2 linked regions of the Astyanax mexicanus genome follow. Each later gene encodes a partner of the first gene's protein in a complex. Links are inferred from orthologs where the notes say so. Each region holds a gene or a part of one and is shown in the gene's direction. Other genes may lie near its edges.

Region 1 (9,029 bases):
AACGTTTATCCCCCCAGATTGGCCCTTCTCTGAGCCTGACCGTTTCCTCTGAGCTGAGCTTCACTCTAAAGCCCCCTCTTGTGGACACAGAAGGCACCACACAACCCCTCAGCTCATTCAGAGTGTGTGCTGATTTGATTTCTTAATGTAAAATCTGTAGAAATGTTAAAAAACCACACAGAATTCAGCCCCGGCTGCTTTAATGTACAGTGCGGTCTGCAGCTTTCCCCCCTCTCACTGCTGCTCTCCTCAGATCACACCAACTGAAATCAACGCAGGGCAGTGATTCATACGGGGAACGAGAGAAAAGGGCAGAGGTGTAACAGTGACAGATAAAAGTTTAACATGGCTTTTGTGGAGTCCCAAAACCACGGCTGTGTGCGCTCTTCTGAGAAACGGCTCCAACCTGACGATAAGGAGCAACGACTGAGTTAAAAAAAAAAAAAGCGTGAGATAATAAGAGAGAAATTGGGTCATTAGTGAAAGCTGTGCAAAAAAAAAGTACGTGTACATTTAGTATACTTTTTTAAGCATTAAGTACATTATTTGTTTTACATCTTTACATCTATTTTGCATTTCAAAAGTATACAAGTAAAATGGTGCAATGATTGCAAGTGTATGAATCATTGCAAGATTAGATCTTAGAAATCCATAATTAAAAATGTCTAGTAGTAAACATTAGTAATGGTATATATTTGTAATACTGTGTAAGATATGTGTACAATATATATATATATATATATATATATATATATATATATATATATATATATATATATATATATATATATATATATATATATATATATATATAATATGCATGATATATGATACCATACTGATAGAAATGCAGGGTGCAAATCAAGCACAAATGCAAGTTGTACATAATTTTTGCACCTTAAAATGGGCAAAATGTCCCATAATTAAGACTTTGTAGTAGTATTTAATTGTTGTAGGTTTATGTTTGAGTAAAATGAACCTTGTAGTTTTATTCTATAAACTACAGACAATGCTTCTCCCAAATTCCAAATAAAAATATCGTCATTTAAAGTGTTTATTTGCAGAAATTGAGAAATGGCTGAAATAACCAAAAAGATGCAGAGCGAAAACAAGTTCATATTCATTTCAGTTCAGTTCAGTTCATATTTCTGAACTTTTAGAGTTTTAGAGTTCAGAAATCAATATTTTGTGGAATAACCCTAGTTTTTAATGCATGTTCTCCTCCACCAGTCTTACACACTGCTTTTGGATAACTTTATGCCACTCCTGGTGCAAAGAAAAAAAATGTATATATAGAAGTAAAGGGTGCAGTAAAGTGTCAAAATATGTAATAAATAGCACAAATAATATATTGTCACTGTCCAATGAAAAACAATTATCTCCAAAACAGCAACTTTACAGAACAGATAAAAAAACTCTTTAAACTTTCAATGGTAGTCAATGTAAAAAAAGAGTTTATTTCAGGTCATTTTAAAGTATTTCTATTGGTCCATTTATCAATAGATTTTGGCACAGTTTAAGGGACAGTTTGTCTGTTCAAATTATGTAGTAAACTAAAAACTGACAAAAATGGAGATACTTGTTTTTTTATGGACAGCAATGATATATATATATATATATATAAATTTGTACAATATATGCATTTTATTATTATGCTTTGCATTATTTTGATATGATTTATTGCTGATAGAAATAAAGGGTGCATTCACTGCAAGTGTGTGAATTAAGCATATATGCAATTTTTGCAAATAGTAAAAAGCAGTAATAGTAAATAGTATATATTATAAACTCTATATACACCATATTTGCATTTTGGATTGTGCAGTATATTGATATATTGAGTAAATGTTTTACTGCTTCATGGCAGGTGTATGAGTTTAGAGCATGGGTAAAAAGTGGGGGAGGTAATGTAACTCAAAATGAGTCAATTTATTAGTTATATGAATTAGAACATATATAACAGTATATATCCATTTGTCAGCTGATGATAAGAACCAATGCTGATGATAAGTTATAAATAACATTTACTAAATATATCAATATACTGCAAAAAACAAAATGCAAATATGCTGTATATCGAGTATATAATATATACTATTGCTACTTTTTACTACTTGCAACAATTGCAATTATGCTTAATTCACACACTTGCAGTGAATGCACCCTTTACAATAAATCTACAATGAATTATATAAAAATAATATATTGCATTATAATACGGAGAATGAGAGAAGGAGAGGTTGATTAGTGGACTCTCAGGTTATGTAGAGGTGTGAGGTGTGAGGTATGATGCTGCTGCTGAAGTGTGTTTTGGACAGATGCTCCTCGCAGTGGTGTGAGAGTGACCCAGTTTCTGCTGCTGCTGCTTCTGCTGCTGCTGGACGCTCTGCACCTCCACCTCACCCTGTTTCCACAGGATGAAGCTCAGCCTACACAGCAGCAGTGGGTCGGGGGGTCGGTGTGGGGGTGAGTGAGTGGGAAACTGGGGTGAGGATGGTGAGGAGGGGGCTTTTGAGGGTTGAGGGTTTTGTTTTTTGTTCCCTTCACTGCGGCACGGAGACAAGCAGCGGAAACCTAGAGAGCTGACCAACAGGTGTGTGTGTGTGTGTGGGAGAGAGAGAAGGGGGACTGCAACTTCTGAAAAGGCTTCATTCCGAGCTCACAGCATTTATCCGCAATAAATAAAGGAAATAAACACATCAGTAAAGAGGAAGCAATTGTTGAAGTGAATAAATATAAATAGAGATCAAACAAACAAACAAATAAACAAACAAATAAATAAATGCTATTTATAGAAATAGGTGGTAAATGAATGCATGATGATATATTTATATATATGCGAAATAAGTAAATATGGAGCTGAATAAATTACACAAGTAAATGAATTGATGAATGAATAAGCAAGTAAGTACGTAAATAAATCATTCAATTCAATGAATAAATAAATAAATAAATAAATAAATAAATGATATATTCATGGACAAATACATTAATACATTAATAAACAATGCCACATACTGCAAAAAATGAATAAATAAATGAACCGGAGCATTTATTAATAAGTAAATAACCAAGATAAGCAAAAGTTAAAAAATAAATAATATTTTTAAAAAGTAAGAAAGAAAGGATAAAGGAAAATGAAAAAGAATAATATATAATGTGCTTTTTATATTTAATACTACCTCTTTCTTTCTCTGCTCTATATAAAGCCACTTACAAAGGATGAGTTTCTGTGATTTTACCAAACTGAAAACCTCTGGAATACAGGGGGAAGATTGTATTCCAGAGTCATCAAACCAAGCTGAACTTGCTTTTTTTTCCAAAAGCAGTGTGTAAGACTGGTGGAGGAGAACATGATGCCAAGATGCATAAAAACTTTGATTAAAAACCAGGGTTATTCCACCAAATATTGATTTCTGAACTCTTAAAATTGTATGAATATGAATTTGGTTTCTTTGCATTATTTGAGGTCTGAAAGTTCTGCATCTTTTTATTTTGTTTATTTCAGTCATTTCTTATTTTCTGCAAATAAATGCTCTAAATGACAATTTGGAAGAAATGTTGTCTGTATATATATATATATATATATATATATATATATATATATATATATATATATATATACTATATATAAAATAAAAAATGAAATAAAATATAATACAAATGATAAAAACTCCACCTCAAACCCTTCAGTAATTATTCATTGCATCTTAAACAATACTTAAATTTTACTGTAATATTTTTAAACCAAATAATAACAAAGTTTGTCAGTAAAATGACCCTTTTAGAAAAATAAGCTACAGCTTTAATTTGCTCGTTGCTTTCCTGTTCGTAGTAGGTTTTCTGCTCTGCTGAGAAATGAGCAGTTTCTGGTTCAGTAGGAGCACAACGGTGTTATAACACACACACACACACACACACCTGCTGAAGCTCACATCTGCACTCACTCACCTGTGCACTGTGTAACTGCGTGAAATAATCAGCATTTTTGCACTGAAAGTCAGTGACAGCGCAGTGGATTTAAATATTTAAATATTTAAACCGAGTTAAACTCATCACGCAAGATTTGGTGTGAATGTGTGCCCTCTTGGCCACGCCCCTTTTCCTTGAAGCGTGCGGTTTTCCCGCGGGTTTGTTTCCCCACATGTATTCTGATGTTCTCGTCCAAAAGTTCCTTATCTATCATGTCTGCTGAAAACTGTGTAATATTGCTGTGAAGATATATGATATGATGTAATATATTGTAGAGGGGCGTGGCTAACACTGAAAAAGATAAATATATGCAAGTTTTAGAATGTGCCATAATTTGCAGCAATGTTCCTTGTATTGTACCATCAAATACAGTTTATCCAATTGTGATGGATTACATCACATTTAATCCATTGGGGGCATCGTAAGCCCTGAATTGTGATATATATCGTAGAGAAGTAATAAAATACAAATATTTTAAGACAACTTTTTTGTTCTCGTTACTCCTATTTCATTTCAGTTGGTTTTCATTCCGGCTTCTCATCCTTCAATAAAACCCCTATCCAGATAAATCTCTCCATCCAGATAGAGTGAATCTGATTGTGACTGGATGTAGAGAAGTATAAACATATACCATTCCGACTCCCTATTGGTTTATACTGTGATCCATCACACCTGCACCAGAAGATCATTTGTGCAGAGACTCAGATATATTTGCATTTTACTTATATTCTTATATTCCTTATTGTGCTATCTTACTGTACGATTGTTGTCTATCTATCTATCTATCTATCTATCTATCTATCTATCTATCTATCTATCTATCTATCTATCTATCTATCTATCTATCTGTTCCACCCGATGTTCAGGTAAGCCACGCCCCTCTATTGCAATGATTGACTAATTAGTCAATCATCCTGGACTTTTTTATCAAAAAAAAAAAAAAAAATTTATTTTTAGTTATATCTTATGAGGTATAGTTAATTTTCATGCTGTTCTCAGTTAGCATCTTTTATAGTCTTATATTCTTTACTGTGCTTTCTTACATAGATAAATCTATCTATCTATCTATCTATCTATCTATCTATCTATCTATCTATCTATCTATCTATCTATCTATCTATCTATCTATCAGGTAAGCCCCGCCCCTGTTATTGCTATGATTGATTAATTAGTCAATCATCCTGGTTTTTCTTTCTAAAAAAACAAAACAAAACAGAGAGAACAAACTCCTGACCAATCGCGGAACAGGTGGGCGGGGCTTTGTGTGGAAAACGGGTGGGGAAAGAAATCAACAACAACATCACACCACCGGAGAGAGTAGTATAGCGCAGCACGAGCGAGATAGATCAAAGTGGGGCACGCGCGAGAGCAGACGCGTGAGGTCTAGAGAGAGAAGGAGAGAGAGAGCGATAGAGCTGGCACGAGGCGGAGACGGGGCGGTTCATTTTTTCATACCTGCCCCCGCATCCCACCCCTCTTCTTGCCCCTCCGCCCCCCTCCAGTCCCCTAACACCCCCTCCCACTCCCGCAGGCAGCTCTATCCCGGACCACAGGTCCCGCGCTGCCCGCATTTCTCGCGCTGCCTCGCCGCGCGCCTCCGAACTTTGCTGATTTTGAACTGAGCTCGAACTGAATTTGAACTGAGCGCGCGCGAGTGACCGTTGGCGTCCAGTAACGGTCGCTTTCTAACGGACTCCTCGCGATTCTGCGGCTATATTTTCATTTATTTTGGTTAATTTAGTTAATTTTGAGGAGTTTTCTCGCCTTTTCCGAAGCTGTCAAGGTGGGAAGCGAGGCGAGACGAAGCCGGTCAGCTTTGGATGGGAAAAGAAGAGAAAAAAGCTGCGAAAAACGAGAAAGAACAACGCAAAACGAAAGGTGAGTGGCTAAACGTCTAGTTGAAGCATTAGTTAAGCTTACGTTAAGTTTTTTTTCTTTTTTTGCGTTTACCTCTGTTACAGGTAACGTCTAACGTCTAAGGTATCGTTAAACGATGCCTGGACTTTAAACGTTCATTAACTTACAGGTGTACGGTAAAAAAAAGAATATCGAATAGACGTTGCTCTTTGGTTGCGTTTAACCTAACTACAGTTAAGTAGTTGAGTTTTTAAGATGCTGATGGAAAAACGTTTAACATTTAAACAACGTTTAAATGGGTTACTTAAAACTGCTTGCTTCATAGGCGTCAGTTAATCAGTTGAAATTATGACTTTGATTCAACGTTTATTTTAAGGCTTTGAAAATCACAAGTTAAGCATTAACTTGCACGTGTAAGGTGAAATGAATATTGAGTTGACGTTGCACTTTGCTCTTTGGTTGCGTTTAAACTCAATTTCTGAAGTTTTAAGTTGTTATTGGTAAAACATTTAAAACATTAAAAAACGTGCAGGTTACTTGAAACTGCCTCATATGCATCAGTTCGTGCTGAAATTCTTACATTGATTAAACGTTTATGCTTTTGTTTTTTATGAGAAAGGTGCTTGCGACAAATAATATAAATTATAATAAGTATAATAATAGTAATGGTTGTCAATATTATTAAAATTGAACTTTCTACACTGTATGTTTGCACATATTTAAGTTTAATACATGCAACACATATAAAACGTATAAACGTTAAACCCATATTAAATCTACGTATCAGTCAATCAGTCAGTGTTTACAAACAATTAAACTCTGACATCGGACATAAACGCTGTTTCAGAGCATTGGAGAAGAAAAAAAAATATATATATATATCGTTAATTCAACAAAATTGAGCGTTAACGTCTGTTGCTGATAACGTCTAACGTCTAATATTATTGATAAAAGTTATTTTATGATATGGTTTTATGATAGAAAAGAGAGGTAAACTGAAGAAGAACAACACAAAACACGAAGTGAGTGGCTGGCATTGCATCGCATTGAGTTTTAACGTTAACTTCAGTTGTCATCAACATCTAACGTCTACTTGGACTTATACAGGTGTAGGCTAGCTTGGTTTTAATCTGAGCTGCGTTTTACTACAAACCGGTTAAACAGCTAGTTAAACATCTTCACACTTACTTAGTTAACTAGCTAAGTGAATGAATTAGCTGGCAGTTAATTAGTTAGTGACTGAAGCCCCCCCCTTCACACATCTATCTAACGTTAACTAAGGCAGAAAGAAAACACCACCTGCTCCCAAAACAAGCTCTCTCCATTATTGACGAGCCTCCATCCCTCACTGTCACATCCCTTTGCTGTCCTCTTTCATCAATCGCCTGATAAAGAATAGATAAGGCCAGGAAAAAAGGTGTGCACTCAATTCTTAAACACTTCTCTTTTATAAGCACTTCAAGAATTAATGCCTCATGCTGTTCTGCTGCTATTTAACTCAAGATTTTTCAGCTCAAGATTTTTGTGTCACACTGATAGAAGTCAAGAGTACCATACATCCATGCAAAGTGATGCTCCTAACTTAGTGCAACACAAACTAAGCCTTAAAAGTTATTTTTATTAAGTAAAATTAACTGTTAGTAGTAGAACATATTGCTATTATGTAGTCATGCTTTTTAATTTAGCTTTTAGTCTTGTTTTATTGCATTTTGATCTTAATATTATAAGCACAACTTCTCTATCATCAATATCAGTTTATACTAATAGAATTAAAGGGGAGAGTCACTGCAAGGGTATGAATTGTAAGCAACGTAATGCAAATAAGATTCAAAGGGCCAAAAATCCTGTTTTATTTCATTGTTTATTCATTTAAAACTCGTCAAAATCAATAGCTTATACTGATAAAAGTAATCAGGACAATAATTGGTAGGTAAAGCAGCAAACTCAAAACAAATCCAAACATCTCGTAATTAAAGATAGTTAATAGTTATTAGAATATTTATATTTATATATGTGTGTATATTTATTTATATACATTTTCAGATTTTTTTAAGCAGTATAATGCAGTTTTTTTCATCAATTTATCATAAGCACTAATCCATTTTTAGATGTTTAATAGTACAAGCAGTGCAGCTGTATGAGTTAATCACACTTTAACTTGTCAGAATGCGTGAGAAAAGCCATATCTAATAATAATAATAATAATAATAATAATAATAATAATAATAATAATAACAAAAAAAAATGCATTAAATCTCTAACTAAACAAAAGTCTCTTTAGTTTAGTTTCATTTTCATTTCCGCATTTTTTTTTTGCAAACATCTCTATGTCTTTATGTATTTGCTTTATATATATACCTGTCCTGAGTATCATAAGCTGAATAAGGGACCAAACCTGTGTGTCCTGAGTAAATGTCTTCCAGATGTGCAAGATAAGCATTTGTGCATCGTATCTATTTAGCTAATAAAACGAAATAAAAAAGCACAAATCACCCAGAAAAGTTTATGATAGCACAAAGGAACACTCTTTATATATATTATAAGATAAAATCTGTATTAACATTAAATGAAATCCAATTAACTACAATAAAGTAACTGTTTTTTTGGTTTATGTCTATTGGATTGAAAGCCTGTGCTTAACATTTTATGTTAGATTTGATATTGACCTTTTTGTTCACAAGCCATCCTTAAAATAAACACTAAAATAAACAAACATGAAAAAAATGTGTTCTAAATGAGGTCTTTTAGTTTATTTAATTTTGGCTCTAGTGCTGTTTTTTTTTTTTTTTCTCCAGTGCAGTGATCAAGGCTGAGCTATTGTTTCATTGGCTTATAAACTTTTAAGTCTATTCTGATTTAAAAACAATTAGTGTCTCAGTTAGTGTTACAGGCAACAAAACGTTTGAAAAATATAAGAAAATACATGATGTCCATTGTAATGCATGCACAGTCTGAAAGGGTTAAGCACAGTTATGTTTAAGCAAAAAGTGCACAGTAGCTTTGGTAGTGTTAAACTAGCTAAATCAACAATGTGTAGGTAAGTTAACACAGCTCAAAATGACTAAAAAAGCATGCAATTTATATATGCAATTATATTTGCATGGCTTTATAGGATATATACATCATTTTTTATGTTTGCAACTTGTCTGTCTGTCTGTTTCTTGCAAACTTGCATGCTTTCTGCACGCAGACGAAGCGAC
Region 2 (8,833 bases), on another chromosome or scaffold:
GTATTTATTAAATTCATATATTATTTTACACACACACGCACGCACACACGTGGGTGTGTTAATTACAGAAATAACAGGCCAACAAAAAGCACAGGTCTTTTATTAGCACCGGAGAAATAATACATTAAAATCAAAGTACATTCATCGAATATATATATATATATATAAATATAAAGCCATATAAAGAAAATGGCAGTTTTAATACTTCAGCAGTTGTTTATTGTGTGTACGAAACAGAGAAAAAATGCACCGTTTCCTGACATAGCATCTGCAAGCCGCGTTGTGGGAACGTGCTATTCATGTCATGGTGCCTTTCAGCGCAGTAAGATGGATTTACCTCGCGCCGCTCTTATTATGTGCCTCTTATAACCTTTCAGGTCAGCTTCCAAGAGGCCGTTGGAAAAAGATCGTCACGTGACATCTGGTGCCAATGTTCTTCCAGAAGGTCGTCAGGACCCTGGTAGCCGGTAACGCGACTTTTGGAAATGCAGAAAACGACCTACTACGACAACTCGACACTATTCGGAGGTTACTCGTACCAGGGGGCCAATGGTTTCGGCTATGAGTCCCAGCCAGCCGCCTTCCAGAGCTCGGCGCACCTCGAGGGTGATTACCAGAGGTCTGCCTGCTCTCTGCAGTCCCTCGGCACCAGCGCACCCACACAGTCGCAGCATGCCAAGACGAAAGAGCTCAACGGCAGCTGTATGCGGCCTAGTCTGCCACCTGAGCACCACCCACCGCCCCAAGTCTCCCCTCCTCAAAACCCTGTGAATCCAACTGGATCTAGCGCCCCCCAGCAGCAAGGTGGCAGCAGCAGTGGTGGGGCTGGCAGTGGAAACACGACCAAATCCTCATCAAAGTCATCTACGCTTGCCCCGAATCCGACCATCAGCAAGCAGATCTTCCCCTGGATGAAAGAGTCGCGTCAGAACACCAAGCAAAAAAACAGCTCCCCCAGCGCAAGCTCAGCTAACGGTGTGTGCCAACCCCTCCCTACCCATCAATGATCACCCACCCCTTCCCAATTACAACCCCACCTGATTTTGTTTCCCTCGAAGACATGTTTTAGCCATACCCTGAACTAGGATTAAAACAGAAACAGAAACTGTTGCTAAATTGCTTACAATGTTCAAGCAGTAGCAATAATAATTTTTGCATTGTGGGTGTGGACAAAAGGATCATAAAAATGTTTAGAATAACTGCAGTAAAACCAACAGTTAAGTGTTATATTGGTTAAGTGGACTATCTGTTACCTGAAACTTGGTTCCTTAATGGTTCATATGATTTTGAAAGGCTCTACATAATATTGAAGTAAATGCATTCCATCATATGGACTCTTCAGTACACACACATATGATGGAAAACATTTAATCAATATTTGATTCAATATCATATAGAGCCTTTTTGATAAACATACACTTGTTTACTAAGACTGGTTCACAGGGCAGCTAAGTTATTTAATGATAGTCAGTGAATAGAGAGCAAATATAATTGCATGTTGCACAGGACGATTGTGGCCGTGGGCATTGGTCTTAATACAATTTACATATACCCGGTCAATGTTAGGGCATACACCTCTTAATAAGTGCCAGTTATGATATGTTGACAACCAATATCAAAGGTGGGGGCAGGGGTAAGCTTTTCTTTATGTGACCAGCTTTATTAAGGGGAATGACGCATTCAATTGCTGCATGTAGTAATTATGTTTTATTTCATTCCCACCCCAGCGGAGAGCAGTGGTGGTGAGAAAAGCCCTCCGGGTTCTGCGGCTTCCAAGAGAGCACGCACAGCCTACACGAGTGCTCAGCTTGTGGAGCTTGAGAAGGAGTTCCATTTCAATCGGTACTTGTGCAGGCCTCGACGTGTGGAGATGGCCAATCTTCTCAACCTTAGTGAAAGGCAGATCAAGATCTGGTTCCAGAATCGACGCATGAAGTACAAGAAGGATCAGAAATCGAAAGGTATGGGTTCCTCCTCAGGAGGGCCATCTCCCACTGGAAGCCCTCCCCTCTCAATGCAGTCCTCTGCTGGTTTTATGAACTCCATGCACTCTATGGGCAGCTATGATGCACCGTCACCACCATCTTTTAACAAGCCTCATCAAAATGCTTATGCCATGTCAACAGCTTATCAAAATCCCATGAAAGGATGCCCATCACAACAGAAGTACGGTAGCACAGCATCGGAATATGACCCACACGTTCTACAGGGTAACAGTGGCAATTACGGGACGCCTAACATGCAGGGTAGTCCTGTTTATGTGGGAGGTAATTATGTGGATGCCATGCCTGCCACTGGGCCATCCATGTATGGTCTCAATCACTTACCACACCACCAGTCTGCCAGCATGGACTACAATGGTGCCACACAGATGTCAGCCAACCAACATCATGGACCGTGCGATACACACCCGACATACACGGATCTGTCAGCGCACCATTCTTCTCAGGGTAGAATTCAAGAAGCACCCAAGTTGACTCATCTGTAGCAGGTTTGGACAAAACAAAAAGGAAAAATAGAAACAAAAACCCATGGGATGATGCAATGGGGTTGAAAAACATGATCCAGTGGTTTCTTGCCATCTCTAGAACTGCAGTTGGTGTCAGTATTGTCCTTTATTCACCTGTGAGCACAATTGTTAATTCAGAGGAATCCACTACATAGAACCCGTAAAGGCCCTTTTAAAGAAAAAGGTTGGTTAAATATGGCTAGTTTATGCCAAGAAATAGATTATTTTACTGTATGAACCAGTGAGGCCCTTGTTTAGGTCATCATGAGCATTTGTGCCATACATCACAGAGTTCTCCAAACTTAGGACTGCTTAAGTGTGGAATGTTATTGTATTTCTGAAACTGGCATTAGGAAACCACTGGACTGTTTTTCATTCAGTTCCCTTCTTTTACATACCTCTTTTTTAAACAGCTCATTAAACATTTGCTTTTTTTCTGTCTTATTTAAACTTGTCAGCCTGAAAAAAACAAAAACAAAATGTGTGCAGTGTCTTTGGCAAGACATGGTAGAAGTCCATACTTGTTTTTTCACTTTGATAAGTTGAGGAACGTTTTCAATCTATGCTACCTGGGCATTCTCTCGTAAACTGGCTAGAATTAAATAATTGCTTTGACGTTGGTACAGGGTATAACAAAAAAAAAGAGTAAAAAAAAAAAAGATCAGTGGGCGTTCATGGCCATCCCTACATTTTTTAACTGATTAAGCCCCTCCTTCGCCCTCCTACTCTTGCTCTCCTGCGCCCCCTCCCCCCTCTCTCTCTCTGGGTTTGCTTACATTAGCCCACACTAATGCGGAAGGCCCACACTTTCTCATGTCTTGACTTAACGTGGAAACAGGGTATAATTGAACAAAATGCATGTCCGAGAAACCAGGCAGTGGTGTAGACGTTTCGGTTTACGCCGATTGCTTTCTTCTCTGGGCATCGTTGTTGCACTTAGAGTTTACATTTTGATGGGTATGGGAAAAAGTAAATCTTATTTTGAAGCGAAAGACCTTCAATCAGCGTCTTTCAGTATGTGTGTTCAAATGAACATTCATAAATATATATTTATTTGTTATAGCCAGTTTAAATACTTTCTTTTTTGTATTATTTATCCCCCATGTATTTATATCGAGAAAGTGTACTTTTTTAGTATTTACCTGTTATAAAAAGCAGACATTGTGTTCTTGTCATTGTAACTAATTTTAGTTTCTGTATTTTAGAGAAACGTAGGTTTTTGTTACCTTTGTACATAAGCAATGATTTGACTTGTACAGGGTACGTGAGAGCGGACTCGAACCGTTCCTGCTTAGTCGGAAAATAGACATTATAGCGAACATTTCTTTTGGAATCTTTATTTGTTCTTTGTAGCTACTTTGATTTTCTTGTTAACAGTTGGCTGTTGAACAATTCTTTAATAAATGTTATGTTATTCATTTCCATTCTTGTCCTACGTCGCTTCAACTTTTCACACAACACACACACGTGGTACATCTGTCCTCATGGCTTCTCAAGAACTGCCCTCAAGGCAGCACGCAAAGCACTGGTCACGTGAGGTGAGGTTAACCCAGGTCTACTCTCTGAGTTCCCTCTGTAAATCAAAAGCCCCTTTAAAAAGTTAACATAAAAAACAGTACATTAAAAGATAAAACAAAGAAGATTTTGTTTATTCAATATTTTTTGTCGTAGGGTTTAAACAACATTAATCATAATTTATTCAATTAAAATAAACATTATCACTTACAAAACACCCAACTATTCTAATAGTATCAAATTGAATGAAATATTTTGAATCACATTGTCTTATAAATATATCATTTGCAGTGAGCGCATATAAGTGGCATTTATCTGTTCTTGCAAAATACAAACAAAACGAAGGTTCGCTGAGTATTTTTTTTTTAATTAATTTTCGACAGCTTCATTAAAACATACAAAGGTAAACAGACCAGGATTACAATGACTAAAGCCAAAACAAAATAAGTAAAGCAAGCAGGGACAATTCACGTATCAAATAACTACATTTTCATATCTTAATAAATGTAATATCCCTCATATATTTTGTAACCAACAGTAATAAAACAAATAGTAATAAGTAAAATCGATAGATAGATAGATAGATAGATAGATAGATAGATAGATAGATAGATAGATAGATAGATAGATAGATAGATAGATAGATAGATAGATAGATAGATAGATAGATAGATAGATACGGTAGTACCCTTTAAAAAAACGTCCACAGAACACGGTAAATCCTTTCGTCAAAAAATGTCTACAAATATTTTTTCTTAATCAGCATTTCTTTTATCCTGGGTAAAATAAAAGACAGAAGGAGAGATCGATGTATCCCAGTAACCCGCACCAGCTCCATTCTAGAAATGGGCCTCTTGAATTGACCTCCTCTTTTTCACATGCCCACTTCCCCCAGCTCTGTTTGAATGCTCTAATACCCAAACTCCCACACACATTTTATTCTTTCCTATGCTTCTTCCAGCAACGAAATGAGCGACGAGACGAGCTTGTGCAACAAACTGCACATATAAACAGCAACTTGTGCTTTCATATTGTGCCATGATATACGTTTAGTCTTGCTCAATCAGCGATTTAATCCTTTTGATTTAGATCCCAAGCAAATAAAGCATTTTTGCAAAAAAAAAACAAAACAAAAAAAACAAGAAAAATATCTAATCATGTGTAGGAATAATGGGGGTTTTCTTTGTTGTGATCCTGGAGGGTAGACGCGAATTCTTGAGGGTGGTTCCTGTCAAGCGCATTGCCTGAGAAAAGATTGATCACCGCTGCTCCTTTACTACTTAGTTTCTAAGAATATCTACCCCATATCTCATTCGCTTTAAATTTGCAAAAAATTGGCTGTGCTCTATAAATGTATTTCAACGGAAATGTCGTATATTGCTAAAGGTGACTCGGTTAACTAGCATGTATAGTAAACTGTGCTATTTTCCTTTTTACTATATATATATATATATATATATATATATATATATATATATATATATATATATATATATATATATATATATATATATATATATATAGCAATTAAATAGTTATTGTTTGGTAAGAACATGTAATACAATATCTGTATGTGAATTTTATTTAATTTAGTCTAGTCAAAACAAGACTTCAGCTGCTACTTACGTGAATCCATTTTCCGAATGAGTCTCATGGTAGATGAACAGGCTTAAATGATTATTAAATTATATCTACATACAGGATTCGCATCGTCTAGGTGTAATTAGGAACCCCCTTGTCCGACAGAAATGACTACGAATCTCAAAGTCTCTCGATGTATTTATATTTAATAACACAATACATGTAGATTTTCATAGACAGGCCGTATATTCAGACATGTCTTGTCTGTTACTCTTGTCAAAACTTTTAAGATTAATGACTCTCACTAAAATGCGCAGTTAGCCATATTGTGGATGTGCACTTAACAGTCGCTTTAGGCCTGAGGATTACATCACCACGAGCTGTGTATTCATATGGTCATTGTCTCAGTAGGACCGTACTTAACCACCCACGCAGACAAGCACTGGATAAACACATGGCAACCGTGTACATTTTATTTATATGTAAGCCCCCGCTTACATCCCAATTCTATGATCATCTTGAATATTTGATCAAATCAGAAAAATAATGCTTTCTTTTTGCCACAAGGCCCCGCATTTCGATTGGCTGATAGCAGTCATGTGATCAGGAATTGGCTGCAATTTCGCCCATAGTCTTCAGTTTAGTAGACACAGGTCCCCATACGCTAGTAATATCACCAATATACACAATTATTAAAGCCCGCAAATGCAGCCATAGCGAGAGCGCAAAATAAAACGACGCCTTTTGGATGTGATTTTTGTGCGTTTTGGTGTCGCTGATCGCCCTTCTTGACTAGGCGAAGCGATGAATTTTGAATTTGAGAGGGAGATTGGGTTCATCAACAGCCAGCCTTCCCTTGCTGAGTGCCTGACGTCTTTCCCCGCTGTCCTGGAGTCATTTCAAACTTCATCAATCAAGGACTCGACAGTAATTCCACCTCCTTTCGAGAACACCATCCCCAGCCTGAGCCCTTGCACAGGCAACCAGGCGCGACCGAAGAGCCAAAAGCGAACCGCCTCCAATGGCCTCCAGCTCCGGACGCAGGCAACACCGCCAACGCAACAGCAGCAGCAGGGCCCGGCTGCACTATCGGGCGGTTGTCCTCTGGCCCACGAGTTCCCATGGATGAAGGAGAAGAAATCGTCAAAGAAGTGCCCCAAGCCCGGAACAGCGGCAGCGGCAGCGGCAGCAGCCTCTGCAGCTGCCTCCCCATCTCCAGCATCCTCTGGCTATACCACAGCGGGACTTGAGTCCCCGACAGGTCAGTTTATCAATATATATATATATATTTTCCCCGTAATTTTCTGTTTTGTTTCTGAACACATGCTTTCTGTAATTATATAAGGGTGATATCAAAATAATTCATGAATAACATGTAGTGCAGCTACAAAAAGCATCAACTGTCGTCCATTCTAAGCGATTCAGAACAATAATGAAATTTTCCAAGCTTTTATATTCAAATGGTCTCTCATCGAAAATGTTCCCTGCTGCTATATTATATAGGACATTTTTGGCAACATTTCTGATATGCCTTTTATCCCTAACATTAATTTGAAATACAGTGTGCCAGTACTGTGAATTGTTCAAATTATGTTACTATCTTTTAATATCAAATTGTCAGTTATTTAAAAAATAATTTCACAGTACATAAGTAATTGAATTAATATTTTTAAAATCATTGTGATTAAGGTGTACTCATAAGATAACTATTGTCATCTCCCCATATTTTTTGTGCTAATATTCGATGTGCATTCTGGCAGACAAAATTGCCGTTACTTTGATGTAGATAGTAAATCTTTCTCTGGAATGACTGTTTAATCGCAGTTGATGTCAGCGCTGTCTTAATGATATATATTCACAACCATGTCTCATGGCTTGGGGTAGCCATTTTGGATGTCAGTATGCACTGTGAGGGCAGTTGAACAAAACAAAATATGGGGCTTGCTGCCTACATACTGCAAGGCGGTTCCATCGCTTGGGAACTTGGTTCTGCAAAACAGTGCCGCGCAGTCATCCAAAAAGCGGACCAGCTTTTGAATAGACTTTTTGCGCAATTTAGTAATTTATCGTTTTTTTTGTTGCAGACATACAAGGAGGGCTGGACAATAGTAGTGGTTCGCGGCGTCTGAGGACTGCCTACACCAACACACAGCTGCTCGAGCTGGAGAAGGAGTTCCACTTTAATAAATACCTCTGTCGACCCAGGAGAGTGGAAATCGCAGCACTATTGGATCTAACCGAACGACAAGTCAAAGTGTGGTTTCAGAACCGGCGCATGAAGCACAAGCGACAGACGACGCATCACCGAGATGGCCAAGAGGGCGAACCTAGCGGCTTTGAGCCCCTAGACGGCACCGACGCCGCCTCGCCTTACTCGAACCAGCCCCCGGAATCGTCGGGTCCGGGATCCAGCTCAGGTTCGGCGGCAGCTTCGGAGAGCGAATCATGCCCCCCTGCCGCCTGCTACACGAACAGTGCCGACAATAGCCAGCCCACGCCTGAGGAAGGTCAGGCGATGCGGCCGAAGTGCACATCTGTTCCTGACACAGCGATGCACTCCCCCCCGTACCCAACGCCCACTGCAGAGACTTCGGCTACAATGGGCAGCGAAGGCCGAGAGCACAGCGCGTTCCCTGAGCCGCAGGACACCAACTCACTTGCTGACTTGAATTTCTTTTCCACTGACTCCTGCCTACAGATTTCGGACGCTTTATCACCGAGTCTGCAAAGCTCACTGGACAGCCCCGTAGACTTTTCCGAAGAGGATTTTGACCTGTTTACGAGTACTCTTTGTACCATAGATTTACAACATTTACAGTTCTAATTGACTGTAACGTTTAGAAAGAACAATTCAAATCCAAATGCATCTCATCACAGTTTAATGATTTTGTTGACTACAACATTCCTGAAAAAGAAGGACAAATTCCCTTCTGGGTTATATGCAGGCATAGTTGTGAGACGAAGCCGTGGCGGGAAAAAAATATTGCTTTGACAGTATTACGGTGACCTATTATAGCGAATCTACCACGGGATTACCCATGGCCAGTTTCAGGTATTTTACTGTCTTTTGTTTGTCTCGCTTTTAGTTTTGGGGCTGACTTATGCAGATAAATGTTGTGGGGACTTGTTTTCAGTGGAGCTCAATCATTGAATTCTCAGGAAATGTGTCAGAAATGAGGCTAGCTGAACTGCTTTTAGGAAATTCTCCCGAGACGGGCGTTGCCCCAA

The links.
Region 2: DNA-binding protein SATB1 (region 1) and hoxb2a share a complex: the UniProt entries of both Homo sapiens proteins name them as parts of the nuclear protein complex. The link is inferred for Astyanax mexicanus from reciprocal best matches to the Homo sapiens genes SATB1 and HOXB2.

What each region holds. Positions count from the first base shown.
Region 1 is NC_064408.1:119,012,768-119,021,796, reverse strand, and holds the start of DNA-binding protein SATB1, read left to right. Parts: upstream 1-5,357; 5' UTR 5,358-5,850; intron 5,851-9,029. UniProt on the Homo sapiens protein: Crucial silencing factor contributing to the initiation of X inactivation mediated by Xist RNA that occurs during embryogenesis and in lymphoma.
Region 2 is NC_064426.1:33,373,539-33,382,371, forward strand, and holds the start of hoxb2a (homeobox protein Hox-B2a), read left to right. Parts: upstream 1-5,564; 5' UTR 5,565-6,409; coding exon 6,410-6,866; intron 6,867-7,689; coding exon 7,690-8,429; 3' UTR 8,430-8,833. Other genes in the region: hoxb3a (homeobox protein Hox-B3a), read left to right, coding at 486-975, 1,728-2,488. UniProt on the Homo sapiens protein: Sequence-specific transcription factor which is part of a developmental regulatory system that provides cells with specific positional identities on the anterior-posterior axis.